Schizosaccharomyces pombe: one gene and its partners. Changing the gene in region 1 together with any one later gene gives a genetic interaction. Each region holds a gene or a part of one and is shown in the gene's direction. Other genes may lie near its edges. The genes, in order: uve1, rhp41, rhp7 and rhp23.

The links.
Region 2: of uve1 (region 1) and rhp41, changing one enhances a phenotype caused by changing the other (phenotypic enhancement), as found in Schizosaccharomyces pombe (2 studies listed by BioGRID, with this or other methods).
Region 3: mutations in uve1 (region 1) and rhp7 impair growth when combined (synthetic growth defect), as found in Schizosaccharomyces pombe (2 studies listed by BioGRID, with this or other methods).
Region 4: of uve1 (region 1) and rhp23, changing one enhances a phenotype caused by changing the other (phenotypic enhancement), as found in Schizosaccharomyces pombe (2 studies listed by BioGRID).

The regions. Positions count from the first base shown.
Region 1 is NC_003423.3:2,837,072-2,841,560, reverse strand, and holds uve1 (endonuclease Uve1), read left to right. Parts: upstream 1-1,975; coding exon 1,976-3,775; 3' UTR 3,776-3,989; downstream 3,990-4,489. Other genes in the region: integral nuclear inner membrane protein Bqt4, read right to left, coding at 1-293, 340-393, 456-555, 595-626, 664-704; tRNA methyltransferase Ppm2, read left to right, coding at 4,178-4,489. UniProt on the Schizosaccharomyces pombe protein: Endonuclease for the repair of UV-irradiated DNA. Involved in the excision of cyclobutane pyrimidine dimers (CPD) and 6-4 pyrimidine pyrimidones (6-4PP) which forms the UV damage repair (UVDR) pathway. Also functions in oxidative damage repair in vivo.
Region 2 is NC_003424.3:4,592,717-4,597,853, reverse strand, and holds rhp41 (DNA repair protein Rhp41), read left to right. Parts: upstream 1-1,758; 5' UTR 1,759-2,064; coding exon 2,065-3,981; 3' UTR 3,982-4,254; downstream 4,255-5,137. Other genes in the region: tea5 (serine/threonine protein kinase Ppk2), read left to right, coding at 1-174, 233-287; gid8 (ubiquitin ligase complex subunit protein), read right to left, coding at 585-1,010, 1,055-1,250, 1,315-1,415; glucan glucosidase exg2, read right to left, coding at 4,287-5,137. UniProt on the Schizosaccharomyces pombe protein: Has a role in the nucleotide excision repair (NER) pathway. Acts in both transcription-coupled repair (TCR) which removes damage from the transcribed strand of active genes and in global genome repair (GGR) which removes damage in untranscribed DNA.
Region 3 is NC_003421.2:103,442-108,567, forward strand, and holds rhp7 (DNA repair protein), read left to right. Parts: upstream 1-2,238; coding exon 2,239-2,295; exon of another isoform or gene 2,296-2,343; coding exon 2,344-3,978; 3' UTR 3,979-4,407; downstream 4,408-5,126. Other genes in the region: rhp16 (ATP-dependent helicase), read right to left, coding at 1-2,135; SPOM_SPCC330.19C (uncharacterized protein), read right to left, coding at 4,564-4,816, 4,877-4,896. UniProt on the Schizosaccharomyces pombe protein: Involved in global genome repair (GGR) via nucleotide excision repair (NER), in conjunction with rhp16, after UV irradiation.
Region 4 is NC_003423.3:2,984,915-2,989,376, forward strand, and holds rhp23 (UV excision repair protein rhp23), read left to right. Parts: upstream 1-2,014; 5' UTR 2,015-2,049; coding exon 2,050-2,118; intron 2,119-2,154; exon of another isoform or gene 2,155-2,158; coding exon 2,159-2,231; exon of another isoform or gene 2,232-2,272; coding exon 2,273-3,114; exon of another isoform or gene 3,115-3,161; coding exon 3,162-3,230; exon of another isoform or gene 3,231-3,282; coding exon 3,283-3,336; 3' UTR 3,337-3,575; downstream 3,576-4,462. Other genes in the region: nucleosome assembly protein Nap2, read right to left, coding at 1-934; telomerase regulator Est1, read left to right, coding at 3,760-4,011, 4,053-4,462. UniProt on the Schizosaccharomyces pombe protein: Involved in postreplication repair of UV-damaged DNA. Postreplication repair functions in gap-filling of a daughter strand on replication of damaged DNA.

The DNA.
Region 1 (4,489 bases):
CAACAGAAGTGGTAGTGGCAGATGTCGAAGATTCAGGTTCCCCCTCAGATGTCTCTGATTTCTGCGCAGTGGGGCGTGAAGGAGTCGCATAAGTTGAAGGAGTGGAGGATGCCTCTAACAAGGCGTTAATAAACGGGGTCATGCTGTAGTCTTTGGCAAGAGCCAAGGCATCTGCAGGAGGCACCCATAGTCCAGCAACACGTTTGTCTTCAATTGGGTTTAAATTATCACGAATCCATCTCATTTCCAAGTCTTCTTCTTCTTGGGTAGCCTTAGGGAAAGCTGAACGAAACCTAATCGGGTTTAGATTTTTAGAAAAAGATATGAAAAAACGCTTACATTGACGTAGCACTAATGCTTGAATCCTTTGCCATCCTCATAAGAAAGTGAGGTCTATATTTATATACATCATTAGTATTTTTCCAAAAACAACACTGCAAAAAAAAGATAATTACACTTTAGATTCCGGATTTGTACACTTGAGACGAACAAAAGTAGCTGGTCCATCAGGAAATTCTATTACCTGAGCGCGACACTTTGGGATTAATGGTGTATCTGCTATATTAGTTTCACGTAATTTCGGGAAGCGCGTACGGTCAAGTGTATCGTCTTTATAGAGAGGGTTTCTAATATCAATTAGTCGTTTTCTTTAAATATACGAACCTTTCAGCAGGTAAAGACCTGCTTTTCTCATTCTCAGTCATGGTATTCAATTAAGGGGAAAGGTAACAATTAATCGCCGTCGTCGACGTTTGTATAATTCCTCTCTTACAACGTTTATGTAATAGCTGATTGTATAGAGCAATAGTGGTGCTACCTTAAATGATAATATCGAGTGATGCTAGGACGTACTTCGTTATAAACTATGTGCAAAGCAAGAATTACTAATTCTTTAAACACCTCGAGGTCATGTATAGTCGATGCTTATGCTGAAATGTAATGTTAATATTGTTTATTTGAAGATTCAATGTGGTTCCAATTTTTTACGCTTTTCTGTTGGGATACAAACTTAAGGAAAATATTCACACGCGGGCAGCACGCTGCCAAATGTTAAATATAAGAAGCGCTGATCATTTATTTCTGCTAGAAGTTTGTTTTGTCAATCGATCAGCCAGGTCGGCAAAAACGATGCGGCAGTAAGAAGCGTTCTTCATGCTACTGGTTGTAATAGTATTTGCAGAAAAAACCAATCGTTTCGCTGATGCAGCTATCTACGGTTCTAAAGATATACTGTATTTTATCGTAAACAATTCGCTTCGTTTACTCTACCTACATTGCGATTTCGCAATGATGGCTTCTCAACCAACTCATTAATGCTGATGGTATTAAATCTATTGTGAATTACACGGTAATTGTTTGTATATTTTTAAAGATGTCCATGTCAGCAGAAAGCAGCATTAAGACGGTTCATAATACAATATAAATGACCCGAATCCGCCTACTTCTGCTTCCCATACACACATATGCTACAGATGGTAAAATAAATTGTCGCGACTCCTTGACTTGGCCAAATTTTCATTTCAAATGTTTTTTCCTATCTGCTGTTTTTTTGATTGTTCAACTGAATCTGCAATTATTAAAGAGAAAGCAACACAATCTTTTTACTTAACATTGTATTGCTAAACTAAGCTCGATTTGAGAAACCAAAATTTCCTCGTAAAAGCAGTCCTATCTACACTGAACAATAACTGTCAAAAGTTGAATCCCTTGAGCATCAGTAATCTCATGGCCTTCCAATAAAATCATAGCGAATTTTGACGTAACAATGATACAAAACCATTTTTGGTTTACTGGGAATGAAAGAAGATTTGTCTTCACACTCGTTGATTTTGACTAGTATTGAGTCTCAATCACTTCTTGTCGATATCTCTTTTCACTTACAAGATAATAGTTGTAGGGATATAAGCAAGTTTGCGAAGGGCTTATTTCCTTCTAAATAATGTCATATTGATACTAAAATCGTTTTCATTTTTTAATGCTTAGGCTATTGAAACGAAATATTCAAATCTCTAAACGCATTGTTTTCACCATATTAAAACAAAAGGCATTTAAAGGTAATCATCCTTGTGTACCGTCGGTTTGTACCATTACTTACTCTCGTTTTCATTGTTTACCCGATACCCTTAAAAGTTTACTTCCAATGAGCTCAAAAACCACACTCTCAATGTTACCGCAAGTTAATATCGGTGCGAATTCATTCTCTGCCGAAACACCAGTCGACTTAAAAAAAGAAAATGAGACTGAGTTAGCTAATATCAGTGGACCTCACAAAAAAAGTACTTCTACGTCTACACGAAAGAGGGCACGTAGCAGTAAAAAGAAAGCGACAGATTCTGTTTCCGATAAAATTGATGAGTCTGTTGCGTCCTATGATTCTTCAACTCATCTTAGGCGATCGTCGAGATCAAAAAAACCGGTCAACTACAATTCCTCGTCAGAATCCGAATCGGAGGAGCAAATTAGTAAAGCTACTAAAAAAGTTAAACAAAAAGAGGAAGAGGAGTATGTTGAAGAAGTCGACGAAAAGTCTCTTAAAAATGAAAGTAGCTCTGACGAGTTCGAACCGGTTGTGCCGGAACAGTTGGAAACTCCAATTTCTAAACGAAGACGGTCTCGTTCTTCTGCAAAAAATTTAGAAAAAGAATCTACAATGAATCTTGATGATCATGCTCCACGAGAGATGTTTGATTGTTTGGACAAACCCATACCCTGGCGAGGACGATTGGGGTATGCTTGTTTGAATACTATTTTAAGGTCAATGAAGGAGAGGGTTTTTTGTTCACGCACCTGCCGAATTACAACCATTCAACGTGATGGGCTCGAAAGTGTCAAGCAGCTAGGTACGCAAAATGTTTTAGATTTAATCAAATTGGTTGAGTGGAATCACAACTTTGGCATTCACTTCATGAGAGTGAGTTCTGATTTATTTCCTTTCGCAAGCCATGCAAAGTATGGATATACCCTTGAATTTGCACAATCTCATCTCGAGGAGGTGGGCAAGCTGGCAAATAAATATAATCATCGATTGACTATGCATCCTGGTCAGTACACCCAGATAGCCTCTCCACGAGAAGTCGTAGTTGATTCGGCAATACGTGATTTGGCTTATCATGATGAAATTCTCAGTCGTATGAAGTTGAATGAACAATTAAATAAAGACGCTGTTTTAATTATTCACCTTGGTGGTACCTTTGAAGGAAAAAAAGAAACATTGGATAGGTTTCGTAAAAATTATCAACGCTTGTCTGATTCGGTTAAAGCTCGTTTAGTTTTAGAAAACGATGATGTTTCTTGGTCAGTTCAAGATTTATTACCTTTATGCCAAGAACTTAATATTCCTCTAGTTTTGGATTGGCATCATCACAACATAGTGCCAGGAACGCTTCGTGAAGGAAGTTTAGATTTAATGCCATTAATCCCAACTATTCGAGAAACCTGGACAAGAAAGGGAATTACACAGAAGCAACATTACTCAGAATCGGCTGATCCAACGGCGATTTCTGGGATGAAACGACGTGCTCACTCTGATAGGGTGTTTGACTTTCCACCGTGTGATCCTACAATGGATCTAATGATAGAAGCTAAGGAAAAGGAACAGGCTGTATTTGAATTGTGTAGACGTTATGAGTTACAAAATCCACCATGTCCTCTTGAAATTATGGGGCCTGAATACGATCAAACTCGAGATGGATATTATCCGCCCGGAGCTGAAAAGCGTTTAACTGCAAGAAAAAGGCGTAGTAGAAAAGAAGAAGTAGAAGAGGATGAAAAATAAAAATCCGTCATACTTTTTGATTTATGGCATAATTTAGCCATCTGCATTTTCAATGCAATCATTTTTGTCTTTTTGGCTCTAGATATTTCCGAAAAAATTCACTAGAGTACTATTTATTTTCTTATTTGCTTACTGTCCATGCTAATATTTAATCTAAAAGTTATTGTTTTATTTACAATCAAATTTCAATAAAACATTTCAATTAAATATAAAATTTAAACTAGTAATTTACGATTTACACGAATTATGTAAAACTTTAAGCAATTCCGGTCATATTGGTATTGTCGTTTTCTGATCAATATTATAATTCCTTTCCACTAATCTTCGTAAGCTTGTGTAACTTAACTGCAAAAATTCTCAAGGCTTCGAAAGATTAAATGAGCTTCTCTTTATTCATATACAATGTCAAACAAAAATCAAAGGAAAACTAAGTCAAAAGATAGAGAAGTTCGTAAAACCAATGACAGCTCAATTCTTTCAAAAGCCTCAGTTGAAAAATGTGGATATCCAGGTTTTACCGTAGGACATTCTTATTATCAACCGTTTATACAGAAATCACCTAGAAGATCGCCAAGCGTAAATAGAGGTTATTGGACACGATGCATGGCTATTCGATTTGCAGTGTACCAGTTTTTGAAGAATAAAACCGGCAAAAGAAAGGCAATAGTGAATTTAGGTGCAGGATACGACCCCTTAGCCTTTCAACTTTTAAGT
Region 2 (5,137 bases), on another chromosome or scaffold:
AACTCCGAATGCAAATGTTTTAGTCAACCGAGTTCGTGGATTAATTAGCCAAGAATTTAAGGAATTCCTTTTACAAACCTTGCAAGCCGAAACATTACAAGGCCCTAATATCAATATGTTGTTGGAAACTTCTAGTTTTTTGGAAAAGCGACAAACGCTCAATTTTGAAATTTGGTAAGTTTTCAGTTTTGGAACACTTTTGTTTATATCCAATTCTAACCTTTTTTTTTAGCCTAAACAATCTTAATTTGCGAGAACGAAAGGCATCTCGCTACAGTTATCTATGATTACCAATGAAGAAAATCAAATTATTCGCCATAGAAAAAATATTGCTAATTTAATAACCCATTAAATTCCCTCCTTACTTTTAAAAGGAAAAGTTGTGTTTGCTTTGCTTGTCAGTAACTTGATACTATACGATGTTGCTTAACAACAAAAATTGGCTTTGTTAATTGAATGTCATATTATCATTTGTGAGTTCAATAATTTAATTATCATTAGTGAGAACAATACGAAAAAAGTTCTTATGTTAAATGGATGTAACAGACATAAATGCATAAACTGAGGAAGGTCGTAAAAAGTAATCATTTTATGGATGCTTTGGGCACAAATTTCTGCACTTCAATCGAATTCCTTTGTGCCTCTTTTTCACACCAGCGCTCAAAATTTACCAAAGACAACAACCTAGACTCATTTGATAATCCTTGAGACTTCAATATACTAACGTTGGCAAGGTTTGCAACACGCTCACGTTGGCTGTAATTCAAAACATTTTTCAAGGCAGGGCTGTAGGAAGAAGGAGGAAAACATAAAAGCGACATTGTCAACTCTAAAGAATTCAAAAACTTTTGATTTGAGGGTGCTAAAGGTGCTAAATTTTCATGTGCAAAGTTTAAACATCTTTCTACCGCTAAATCAGAGGTATCTTTCTCTTCAACAACTTCTCGTATCAATTCAAGCAATCTCAATCGTAATAATTCAAACAGAAGTTCTGAATTTGTGTCCAAAATCTATGTAGCTGTTAACTCGTAATCCTTACTTGCTTTCAGCATACCTCTGGCTCCAATTCATTCAGTTTGCATATTGCAGAGTTAATTGAACCTGATTTAATTAACTCGCAAATCTCTAAACGTTCTTTTACATATGGAGGAATATAATAATCCGTAATTTGAGCTTCTTCAGCAAATGTTTTTGCGGCTTCTTCGTCACCTTGAATCACCAAATAATCTAAAATCAGCGAATTCACGTCTCTGTACAAGCAATGATTAGTAACCATCAGTAACGTTCAGCGAAGCAACTATTTCAGTTACTTACGAATTATCGATATGGACACTTTTTGTCTGTTTCTCCCATTGTTCTGCGTCCGAACTTGAGCTACCGCTCATTGAAATATCTAAAGAAGAAGTGCCTACCATCTTTAAGCTCTCGTGAGAGAACGGTAGCAAATTCTATTCTATCCTAAACAAAGAGACCTTTTAAAGCTACCAAAAGTTATGACCGGATAAACGAGCCTCAATTCTTGATAAAAAGAAATTTAACGAAATTTATATAGGATAGAGATAGTAAACCCTTGAAAAAGGCAATTTGAAATTCGAATAGCCTGTGCAATGCTAAAGATTGAAGTTGCAAAGTAGCCATATCGCTACCTCAAAGATATGCCGTTTACCAAAATGCAACGCAAACTTCTAACTTAAAATATAATGTACTCTAACGGCGATTTTTGGTTTCACTACAACGCTGTATATAAACAAATTCAACGTTAGCTATGATTTTAATAGAAAAGGAATTTGTTTTTCTTAACGTTATGAACTACTTTTCGTATCAATAAATACAAATCTTTTTCTCATGTGTTACGTGCATTATTAATGGTCAAAACATTTTCTTATATTCTACTTAATTGAAGTATCTTTATAAACTCGTGCTCCCTAGTGTTTTTAAAGAGTTACGCATCTCAAAAACGTTTCATTGGTTTTTTATGTTTCATTTTTTAAAATAATATAATAGAATAAGGGCGCAACGAGTCTTAATACTGAAAAAAGTTGGCTTCTATCAAATATAAATGCTATGATGAGTGACGAAGATAATACCTATAGTGATGATGAAGAATGGTTAGATTTAGATCTTGGTCTCCCTAATAATGATATTAAAACTGCACCTATTTTAAATTCTTCGCTCCTTTCATCCGCCGTACATGGTGAAAGGTTGATTCAAGAACGACCAACTCATGATTTTGGAGACGTTGAGGCCACCGTTGATCGAACGGTTGAAAAACGTAGCCGCTTAAAGATCACTTCCGTTGATAGAAAGATTCGTCTTCAAATTCATCAGTTACACTTACTCTGTTTGACTTATCATCTTTGCACACGAAACACTTGGTGCGATGACAATAGACTAAATTATCTTGTGAAATATATTCCTCCTGGTATACGTGTCTCGCTTCATCCCTCTTCTCAAAAGTCACAAATGATTCGGAACAAAACTTTCCTACACGGGTTGGCTGGACTCGTCGAAGTTTGGAAACGGAAATATAAAATCACTACCAATGGATTAAGAAAACCGAATTATGGTTTACTACAAAACAATAGCCTCATCTCTGAATCTTTATCCCTTGAGGAGTTTTGTAAAAACTCAAAATTGCTTTCCGGTAGTAGAGATTATGGAACCCAGTTATTTGCATCTATTCTTCGTAATTTAAACGTTCCAACTAGACTAGTTTTTTCACTACAAGTTTTATCTTTTCGATTTAAAGGTGCCATAAATGAAGCAAGTAGTCATGAAATTGTTCCGGCATGGTCTCAGCAAATGGAAAATGATTCATCTAGCGATATCTCTGAAAGTGCACACATTACTTCTAGATTTCGCAAACGTAGGAAAATCATACAGCCTTCTTTTTCAAATCTTTCACATCTTGATGCCTCAGATATTGTTACAGAAGATACAAAACTAAAGGTAATTGATTCTCCCAAACCGGTTTTTTGGGTAGAGGCTTTTAATAAAGCTATGCAAAAATGGGTTTGTGTTGATCCATTTGGTGATGCTAGTGTCATTGGCAAGTACAGAAGGTTTGAACCGGCTTCCAGTGACCATCTAAATCAAATGACTTATGTATTTGCTATTGAGGCTAATGGGTATGTAAAAGATGTTACCCGAAAATATTGTTTACATTATTATAAAATATTAAAGAATAGAGTCGAGATTTTTCCCTTTGGAAAGGCTTGGATGAATAGAATATTTTCTAAAATTGGAAAACCAAGGGATTTTTATAATGACATGGATGCTATAGAGGATGCGGAATTACTAAGGCTTGAACAATCAGAAGGAATTCCGAGGAATATTCAAGATTTGAAAGATCACCCGCTTTTTGTTTTGGAGAGGCATTTAAAAAAGAACCAGGCTATTAAAACTGGTAAATCCTGTGGAAGAATCAACACAAAAAATGGGGTCGAATTAGTGTATCCACGCAAATATGTTAGCAACGGCTTCTCTGCTGAACATTGGTATCGTAAGGGTCGTATCATAAAGCCAGGAGCTCAGCCTTTAAAACATGTTAAGAATGGAGATAAAGTATTACCCTTGTATGATGAAGAAGCTACGCAGTTGTACACTCCGAAACCGGTTGTTGCGAACATTGTTCCTAAAAATGCATACGGAAACATCGATTTATATGTCCCTTCAATGTTGCCATATGGAGCATATCATTGTAGAAAACGTTGTGCTTTGGCAGCAGCTAAATTTTTAGAGATTGACTATGCAAAAGCAGTTGTTGGATTTGATTTTCAACGGAAGTACTCAAAGCCTAAATTAGAGGGAGTTGTTGTTTCTAAGCGTTATGAAGAGGCTATCGATCTCATTGCAGAGGAGATAGACCAGGAAGAAAAAGAAGCAGAGGCAAGGAATGTAAGAAAGACTTGTCTTTTATTATGGAAGCGACTGATTACAGGCCTTCGGATTCGTCAGCGTGTATTCGAAGAATACGGTTAATTGATAAATTCGATTTTCCTAATCTACGAGCTCAATGATGGAATCATTTTACAAAGTACCTGGCTACACATTCTTAGTGTTATCTACATCAAGGTTGTTATTTATTTTTTATTGTAATACGAAGTTTGAATTGTTATCATATATTTCTTTGTATATATATATTAGTACACAAATAAAGATGAGCGATCATGACTTTAAAATTCTATAGAATTCAGGGGTCTTTAATAAGTACCTTTATATTGACATAAATTAAAATAAAAGATTGATATTATCCAAAGAACAATGCTTGCATTTTCTAATTACCATCAAAATTCAGATTGCTCGTCAAACTCCATGAAAGATTTAGAATCAAGCATGCTGCAATTGAAATCCTTCGTTGTAGAGTAAGCCAAGCGAGGCAACAAACCTGCCAGCCATGATTTTTTGTAACTCCATTGAGTGGCATTTTCGGTGTCCCAGTTCCAATAAAACCAGCCCCATGTTTTGTCAAATGTTTCAATTTGTGAAGTAGCTAAAGCATATAGAAACTTTCGATAAGAATCCTCGTAATTTTCGGGGTCCTGATTTGCGAAGTCGCAACGACAACCAACTTTTTCAGAACAACTGGCAACACCTCCATTAGGAGTAAAAGTGCCGTCCCATCGAGCACCCTCTCCAACATTATTTAAAAACTTAGCACAATCTGTATCCGCAAGGCTCCACTCTCCTATAATCGTCGGTAATTTGGCCTTTAACTTCATTTCTTCGTTCCATGACTTACATATCACATTAAGTTTATCTTTTGGCCTCAAACCAATTAAGAAATCATTAAAAATGATATACCTATGTACATCGATAAGTATGTTTGGGAAGTGAAATGGATCAAAATGATCTTCCCAATTACCTGGACCACGAAATCCATCACTAAGTGATATTAGACCTGTAAAATTAGATTGGCGAATTACCGCATAGGCTTGCTTATGCCAATCAGTAATTTTGTGCTCATCAAGAACGAAGAAATTTGGTTCGTTAAGTGCACCGTATATTGTAACGACATTTCTATACCGTTTCTGAGAGAAAAAAGAAGCAAGTCTTTCATGAATTTTTAGTGTGAATTGAGAATTTTCCTCGCCTTTCACTGTGCCATCCAACCACTCCATTTGATTCAAATATCCAC
Region 3 (5,126 bases), on another chromosome or scaffold:
TTACAGACGATATTTTCCTGATTTTCAATATCAACTGTTTTTCGTTTGCTAGCTAACACCAGGTCAGGATGATCTGCCATTTGGCGCATTCGTGTAATTAGCTGGAAAATGTTTGCATAATTATTCAAAACGACACCTTCAGCAAGATATGTATTAAATTTTCTTTTTGAATCCATATATAAAGATTGGTATACATCTTCCTCTTCTTCGTTGAATAAATCTTTCCTCACTTCAACGACTCGAGGAGGTAATCCAAGGTCATCAGCCCTCTCTAATTTTGTTCGACGTAACATAATGTGTTTTAATAAAGAATGCACCTTTTTAAAAGCTAGCTTTCCTGGACCTTCGTATCCAAACTTTTGTATTGGTTTTAGCATTTCAGCGTTAAAATAGCAAGTATGACTCATTGGTTTATGGCCGCATTCGTCGCAATTACTTCTATCGGAAAATCTCCAGTGCAGAGATTTACATTCACATTGCAAGCAATAGTAGTAAGCAAAAGGATCTGCCCGTAGGAACCGAAGAAGTGAAAATAATTCTCCAATACGGTTTTGCAAAGGTGTTCCTGAAAGACATATCTTTCTTGTCGTTCTTAAGCCACAAACAGCTCTGGCAGTGTTACAAGTCCTTGATTTGATACCATGGGCCTCATCAAGTATAATTCGGTAAAACTCCATTTGATGAAGTAATGACTTTTCTTTTACAACACCGTTTTTCCTTCTGAATCCGCTGCGTTCCTTCCTGTAAACTGATTCAATTACATTGTAACTCGTTAGTACAACATCATAGCTCGAAAGCTCTTCTCCTGAAATATCACGAGCCTGGCCATAATAAAGATATGTACTCAGTGCTTTATTGGTATGTGTATCAATCTCTTCTTTCCATTGCATAATTGCTACAACCGGAGCAACAACCAAGGTTGGCTTACCTCGAGGTTCTGAAAGCAACAACGCAATTGTTTGAATAGTCTTACCCATACCCATTTCATCGGCCAAGATTCCTCCACCAAAAGAGGAATCTTCTTGTCGTTTTAACCAATATACACCTTCTCGTTGAAAAGGGAGAAGGTTTAGGACCAACTCTTTGGGTTGCTCGATCTGTTTCACTTCACGAGGTGCTTCTTCTTCCAATTTCTCCCAAACATGTTCTAGTTCAGGATGTTGTCGAATCAGACGATAATGGGTTCTTTCATGTGATGGAATTGATTTTGCTTGTGTTCTAGAGGAAGAGGACGCGGAAGAAGAAGCCCTAGCGGATACCCTCCTTCGTTTGGACTGGTAACTTAAAGGGATTGACTCTTCATCACTTTCCGTAGAAGAACTTGGAGCAGCTTCTGGAATTTCTACTTTACTATCAAAAGTTTCATCCTCTTTGATATCAATTATGCTAGCAACTTCATCACTTTCATCATCATCAATAAATTCGGATTCATTAGATTCTTCTGGAGATGACAATGGCACAAACTTTTTTTTCAAATTCGAGGACCTTAATGAACGTTTTCTGGCACTAGAAAAACCTGTATTGGGATTTGCTTCTACATTGTCTGTGCTGCTACCGGTGTGTGTACTGGTATCAGAAATGGATAATGGGGGTGTCGAATGTTGAGATGAGGTGTTGTTTGACTGGATAATCAATTTTTTGTTTGTTGACAGAGGTTCTTCAAACTCTTTTCCGTTCCAGCGCGTTGTCTCCATATCTAACTTGTCGTCACGCTCGACTTGTTGATTTGAAGCATTCCCCTTTGAATCACCATTATCATCTAGAACAAAATGCATATTTTCTTTTCCCTTATTACTATTCGAGTTTATTTTATTACATGACGTCCCCATTTGTGAATGTAAATTGTTTTCAACCACTTCCTCATCTTCACTTTCTACAATAATGCCCGCAATGGGAGAAGATGACCATTCATCTTGATTGCCTGGTACATCATGAATGTTATTTATCTCTGAATAAGTAGTAGAAAATGGAGCCTGCCCATTACTTTGCTCATCATTATTGTCTGCTTGAAGAGACGCCTGAGTAGTATGGTTATTGCGAGTATTTTTCCAATTTATGGAATCAATTGTATCGTTTGAATTAATATCTACAGCTTCATTTTGTAATTGGTCCACTTTTAGAGTAGATATATGCATAGTAGTGGTTGGTATGAGACAAGTTGCCACGCGATCTGAAGCGATTTAATTAAACTCAACCACACTTCCACCTTATCCTCAGCATACTAAGGATTTCTTTAAAATGTCAAGTGGAAGTCGGGTGAGAGGGCCAAATTCTGCTTTAACAGAATTTTTAAGAGTATGTGATGACTCTTTCTTAGCTCGGAGTTACTAATGCATTATTCAGTCTCAAGGTATCAATGCTTCAGCATTAGGACGTGCTCGTCCTCCTCGTCAAAGCGAGGAGTCAGCAGGGCAATCGACTGGGACAGAATCAGAAGTTATTCAAACACCGACTTCTGTTGAAGAAAACAACGAAGATGAAAACTCGATGTCGACAACGACAATTGAGATACCAGTAGTGAAACGACGAAATCTACGAAATCAAAAAAAGAAGAAGAAAACGGATGAAGAAGCTGAAGACAACGAGGACACTTTTTCAATGAATTCAAGAGCTGGGTTTTCTTATAAAGCAAGGGAGCATACGGGCAAACTAGATTTTTGCGCACACTGTAATTGTCGCTTTACAATAACCCCATACAGCAAATACAGCAATTCAGAGAAAGGGTGGCTATGTTATCCTTGTAGTCGTGGTGCTGAAGATCGATCGGTACCTGAATTAAGGACGAGAAAAAGAAAAGCATTGACCCGTAAAAAGGTGGCTGCCGCTACCATGGACGAAGAAATCAGTGTTCCTAAGCTTCAGGATTTGTGTATACGAGTTATTGCTGAATACATAAATGATATCGAAGCTTTTGGGGATATTGGCCAAGTGAATATGGACAAAATTAGCCAAATAATTTCAAAAAACCGCTCTCTTAACGATACTACTGTGAAATTATTCTTAAGTGGGGGTCAAACTGAATTAAAACTATATGATTGCTCAAAGATTACAGCAGATTCACTTTTCCAAATTGCTCAATACTGCCCAAATCTTCAAACTTTGCATCTTACTTATTGTGGTCAAATGCAGGATCAAGTTTTACACTTTTATGCGGATCATTTGACTGAATTAACAGATGTATCTTTTCAAGGTGCCTTTTTGGTTTCTTCCTCAGAATGGATAAATTTTTTTAAAAAACGGGGTTCAAAGCTTATAAGTTTAGAGCTTACGGATACTGCCCGAATTCATGTTTCGGTTATCAACGCTATAGTTGACTGTTGCCCAAATTTGATTAGCCTTAATCTCTCTAGAATTTTCTATCTTGATGATGAATGCGTCCGTCTATTAGCTGGTTGTAGAAATCTTGTCAGTTTGAAGATTGAATCACCAGGCGGCATCATTAATGATGGAAGTATATTAGATGTACTAAACCAAATTGGAAGCGGTTTGCATACTCTTAGTTTATCTGGTTGTACAAAATTAACTGATGAAGTTTTGAAACAAGGTATAGGTCCTTGTTGTGGTCGTCTTAAGCATCTAAATTTAAGTGGTTTGGAACTGTTAACAGATGATGAGGCCTCTATAGTTTTTGGTGAATGGAAGATTCAGTCAGGCTTAGAAACATTGTCCTTAAGAAGGTGTCTGTCACTTGGAGATAAAACTGTTCGTGCAGTATTGGTTAATTCAGGGCATACGCTTCGCACTCTGGATTTAAATGGAATGTCGTTTGTGACTGATGAAGCATTACAGTATATTGTCAATTTTCCATTACCTATGCTAAAAGCACTTGATGTCAGCTGGATTCGTGGAATGAATGACAAATTGGTATGCGATTTTGAAAGCAAAAAGCCAACGCTTGAGAAGCTTTTGGTATGGGGAGATAATCATGTCCTGATGCCCTCAAATCGGTTACTTCTGATAGGGCGTGAAGTTCAATAAGGATGGAAATACTTTCTTTTTCAATTTTATCAAAGGTTTTGGTTGTTGAATTGGACCTGTAATTATTCTTTTGAAAAATTTAATGACTAGTACATTATTTAAATTATCACCTTATTTGATGGACACTAAGTTCCTTGAACAGCCTCAATCTCTTTTTGTGTCTTTCTGATATTATTCTTTAACGAATATTTGTATTTGAAACCTTTTTATTTTTAATTTTATTTATTTATTTATTTTCAAATTAGATGATATGGTCTGCGAACAAATAGCTAACCATTTCTTTGGGTAATGAATTATTTTTTTATTACCATTCCCTCTCTTTACGAATGGATCTCCGAATCATTTTTACACATAATCAAACAATTTAACTACCTTTTTTTAAAAAAAAAATCCCGCTGCTCTTTGTTGTAATACAAATATCAAGCAATGTAATTTTCAATCACCTTGATTTTATATAGCATAAGATTATGAATAGTACACTAATGGTATTGCTTGCCAGACTAAAGAGGTTTACTGCTGCTCGGAAACGCAAAGCTCATCAAACAAACATAAATATTTATCCTTTTTAAACTGCAAACATTCTTTTCAAACTGTAATATTCCAATCGCCCGACAAGTTGGGCATATGAAAAATCAAACAATTGAAAACACTGGTTATGCAAGTCGATTTGGCTATCTCACAATCCGCCAGAAAAGTATGCAAAAAATATATACAAGGGCAAAAAAAAGCAAAAAGCAAGACAAGCGGTATGAGATTAATAATAATATTGAGTTGTAAACCGAAAATATTGATTCTAATGCTTAATAATTCGAGTTTACGACTACGGTCATGAGCCTCACTATAAAGAAGAATTACTTAGTGAGCCGTTGATTTATTATAAAAGAATGATTAAACGTACCTTTTGTTCAAGACTACCATTCTCCATTAAAGATATGCGATTATCTTCCTCTTGATTAATATACATCTTGAAAGAGGCTATCTTCAAACCTGTGAAATATCAATTTATATAGAGCAAATGGTCAGAGAATGAATGGGCTTTCTTCCAGAAAACGAGTTCACTTAAGCCAGGCAGGCCCTAGTCCTTATATACTATCTATTTTGCAGAGCTAAAGGGACGATTGTTAAAGCGGAGATAATGTCAGCAATAC
Region 4 (4,462 bases), 150 kb from region 1:
TGTCATCCAAACCATCATCAGATTCATCATCGTCCAACTGAGGAGGTGAGAAAAAGTTGAAAAAACTGTCATTAGGGACCGTAGTACGGACCAATCTAGTTTGATTTGTTTTACGGTTACGTTGTTTTTTTGTCTCCACTCTAACCGTTAAATTTTTTTCAGGCTTGATCCAATTAATCTTATCACCCTCAGCATGATCATACAAAAACTCACCCGAAGGACTTAAATCATCTTTATAGTAATAAGTTTTCGTTAAAATCTTGTTTGTAAAGTAATCATTTGAGTCAAATTCGAATTCTAGTTTGTAACCATGAACATCTCCCGAAAGGTTGGTAAAACGAATGTCGCTGAGTGATCGCAAGACATTTTCATCTTCTGGTGTTATCATTTCGCCAACCAAGAAAACATTATGAAGACAAGTCAGCCAAAATTCGGGAATTCCCTTAGGATCTGGAAGATTATTTTGAAATATTTCTTCCTCGTGATCTAATTCGTCGTCCACTGGTTCAGAAACACCCTTGATAATTTCGGCTCTTCTAGAGAAAATAGGTTGATATTTTTTCTCGTATTTTGTTTCCAGATCTAACATTTTTTGACGAAATTCATATTGAATTGCATCACAATCTTTTTGAAGGCCTTTCAATGCTGTAATACGATTTTGGACTGCTGGCGCAAGGCTCTCTATATATCCCGACGACTTTCCAACCAACGAGCTAAGGCGTCCCTCAATCATTGATAACATGGCCGGATTGTTGCGCAATAACCCGCTAACTTCATCATGTGCTGATTTGTCCTCCAGTTGTGATTGCAAGGTTTGTCTAGCTTTTTCTAATGCGGCCTTACTAAGATGTACATCTGAAGATGGAGTATTTTGTGGCGTTTGAGCAGCAAACCCATTCCAAGACTTCTTAAAATCTCCTGGACCTTTAGACATATTTTAATAATGCAAACGGAGATTAAATTAAATTGGTAAAGCTTCGTTGTTGGACTGTGGATCTTCGTGAAGTCTACCAAAGAGATGTTGGGCCTGACTCGTTATTGCAGCTTAGCATATTTTAATGATATGTTTACAGCATTTTTCGTATGAGAGTCTTTAATGAAATATATTTATGTGTTTAGCGGCTATCATAGTTTGGGATAGTATTTGGGGTTTTATTTGGAAGAATATGTAAAATTAGAAAGCATCCGGAAGTTTACATATACGTTGACTTTTTTCTCTCCGCTTTCCTTATACTTTCTCTGACAAAGGTAATGGATTGTATAAACCAAAGGCGCTGCTTTCAAATTCTGATGTAGCTGTCCAAATAGCTAAAAAAAAAATCAATGAAATAAACAAATGTATATATCTCGTTTAAGCAAAGTGTCTACGCTATTCATATTAGTTTAACATATGTATCGTATCCCAATTATTAGTTGAAAATTCTATAAAAAATATATATATATGGATACTGATTAATAAACAACTCTACGTATCATATACTTCTATATTCATGAGTTAAACAACCTTATTGTAGCATTTGTTTACTAGTTAGTTGCCCACGGAGGAGCGAAAAACTATCGGAACATAATTCAAAAGTCAAACTTGTAAATAAAAATCTGCTATTGTAACGGTCATTGCTAACTTAAATAAACAAATCATAATTAATATATATAAATTTATTAGCGATCGTTCTGTAAATAAATAGAAAATGAGAATGAATAATCCAACAGAAAAATATATATATATATAGTAAATTAAAGAATAAAGAATAAACTAATACACTGTATTGAGTACTAATGGACTTGGAAACGAGGTAAATGTTTCACTCACAACACTTTCAAACAAATGAAATATTTTCTTACATTAAATTTTAGGTTCAAATAAACCAAACTGTTTTGCTTTTTAGATTTTTCATTCACATTTTATGATAAACAATGCGATGATACCAAATAATGTTACTTGTGTATGGTGTTTGTTTGCTACCTTGACAATTATTCTCTGATGCAACGTTTTTTCAAAGAGGTTTTCATTACTATACATTTACCCACTACGCCAAATTTGCTTTGAAAATGAATTTGACATTCAAAAATCTACAGCAGCAGAAATTTGTTATTTCTGATGTTTCTGCAGATACCAAAGTATGATAATTGTGGCATATTATTTTTCTAACGTAAACAGATTTCAGAATTAAAAGAAAAAATTCAAACGCAACAGAATTATGAAGTCGAACGTCAAAAGTTAATTTACTCAGGTATATAACATAATTTTAATATGTAAAATACTAATTTATAGGTCGAATCCTTGCTGATGACAAAACTGTTGGCGAATACAATATAAAAGAACAGGATTTCATTGTATGCATGGTTTCACGACCCAAAACTTCCACCTCTACTCCGAAATCAGCTGCCAGTCCTGCCCCCAATCCTCCGGCTTCCGTACCTGAAAAGAAAGTTGAAGCTCCTTCTTCTACCGTGGCGGAATCTACCTCTACTACACAAACTGTTGCTGCTGCTGCCCCTTCAAACCCAGATACTACTGCCACTAGTGAAGCACCAATAGACGCCAACACATTGGCAGTTGGTGCTCAACGAAATGTTGCTGTCGAAAATATGGTAGAAATGGGATACGAACGCAGCGAAGTTGAAAGAGCCATGCGTGCCGCTTTTAACAACCCTGATCGGGCAGTGGAATACTTATTAACTGGTATTCCCGAAGACATTCTCAATCGACAGAGAGAAGAGAGTGCTGCAGCCCTTGCTGCTCAGCAACAGCAAAGCGAAGCCCTTGCTCCTACTTCCACTGGCCAGCCAGCGAATCTTTTTGAACAAGCTGCTTTATCAGAAAATGAAAATCAAGAACAACCTTCTAATACCGTTGGTGATGACCCTCTAGGCTTCCTTCGTAGCATTCCTCAATTTCAACAGCTAAGACAAATTGTTCAACAAAATCCACAGATGTTGGAAACTATATTGCAACAAATTGGGCAGGGAGATCCTGCATTGGCTCAAGCTATTACGCAAAATCCTGAAGCATTTTTGCAATTATTGGCGGAGGGTGCCGAAGGCGAGTCTGCCTTACCTTCTGGTGGAATTCAGATTCAAATTACTCAAGAAGAATCTGAGAGTATTGATAGAGTATGTTATTTCTATTTTTTTGTTTTAACTATCTAACAAGCTTTTAGTTATGTCAACTTGGCTTCGACAGAAACATTGTAATTCAGGCTTATTTAGCTTGTGATAAAAATGAAGAGGTGTGTTTTTTTTTTTTTTTTGATTTATTGAATTATCAACTAACAATTGTAGCTTGCTGCTAATTACCTTTTCGAGCATGGACATGAATCTGAGGATGAACCTTAAAGCGCGCACCTTATAAATTATTGCTTTTCGCTTGAAAAACGCCTAAATGGCAACTAATTCAGCTCTTTATTGCTAGCATTTAGTTAAGGATACGGAATATTAAACAAAACAATGATATTTTTGTAATTGTTGAGTACAGGGTTGCTCCGAGCACAGCACATAAGTTGTTTTCAATCATTTGTCGTACATGTAAATATTATATATATACATATATATATTTTTTTTCCCTACTATTTTATTTGATAGAACCATATTTTTCTTTCTCTAATACTGAATTGTCATTACGCTTAGGGTTTTTGCATAAGATATCAAGTAGGAAGAAGTCAAGTGACTTAAGTGGTCTAATTTCCACGCTCAACGCTGCAGAAATACGTTTTTGATAATTTTTTATATTTTTCTTAAAATGTGACGATATTATAATTAATGTCGCAACAACTTTCAAGTAATGAAATTTGTGAAGAGCAGGGAAAGCTCGTCAAAGCGCTGTGTGAAGCAGCTCAAGGAGGTTTTAAGCATGATTTATATGAGAAAATTATAGCAATTGAAATTGAAGTTGAGAAGAAACTGTTAAATCGTCTAAAAAGTATTCAAACAAATACTTTTGAACGTCCAGATATTATATGGTCATGTTGCCATTATAAAATTATTCAACATTTTAGAAGTAGGTTTAGAGAGGTGAGTAAAAACTAAAGTATGGGACAATTATTAATTTTAAGATACATCCTCGACACGTTGTTGAAAAAAAAAAGACAAAAAAGGTTTTCTTTAAATTCTTGAAAACGTGTGCAATCTTTTACCAGACTTGCATAAGTGAACTAATATCTAAGTTCCAATTGGATTCATACAGACCGTTTTTTTGTAAATGGACATCATCAGCTACTGTTTCTTCGACTATTTCAAACGATGAAATGTCATCAATTCCTGAAGCTTCGTATTCAAGGAACCATATGGAGGCATTAGAATGCGTGTATAATTGTTTTATATATTTAGGGGATATGGCCAGATATTCTTCTACTTGCCTCAAAAAACGCGGCGCATATGATAGAGCTTTAGGGTTTTATGATTTGGCTCATCGAACATTACCCGGAAACGGAATGCATAGGAATCAAATTGCTGTTGTCTGGGC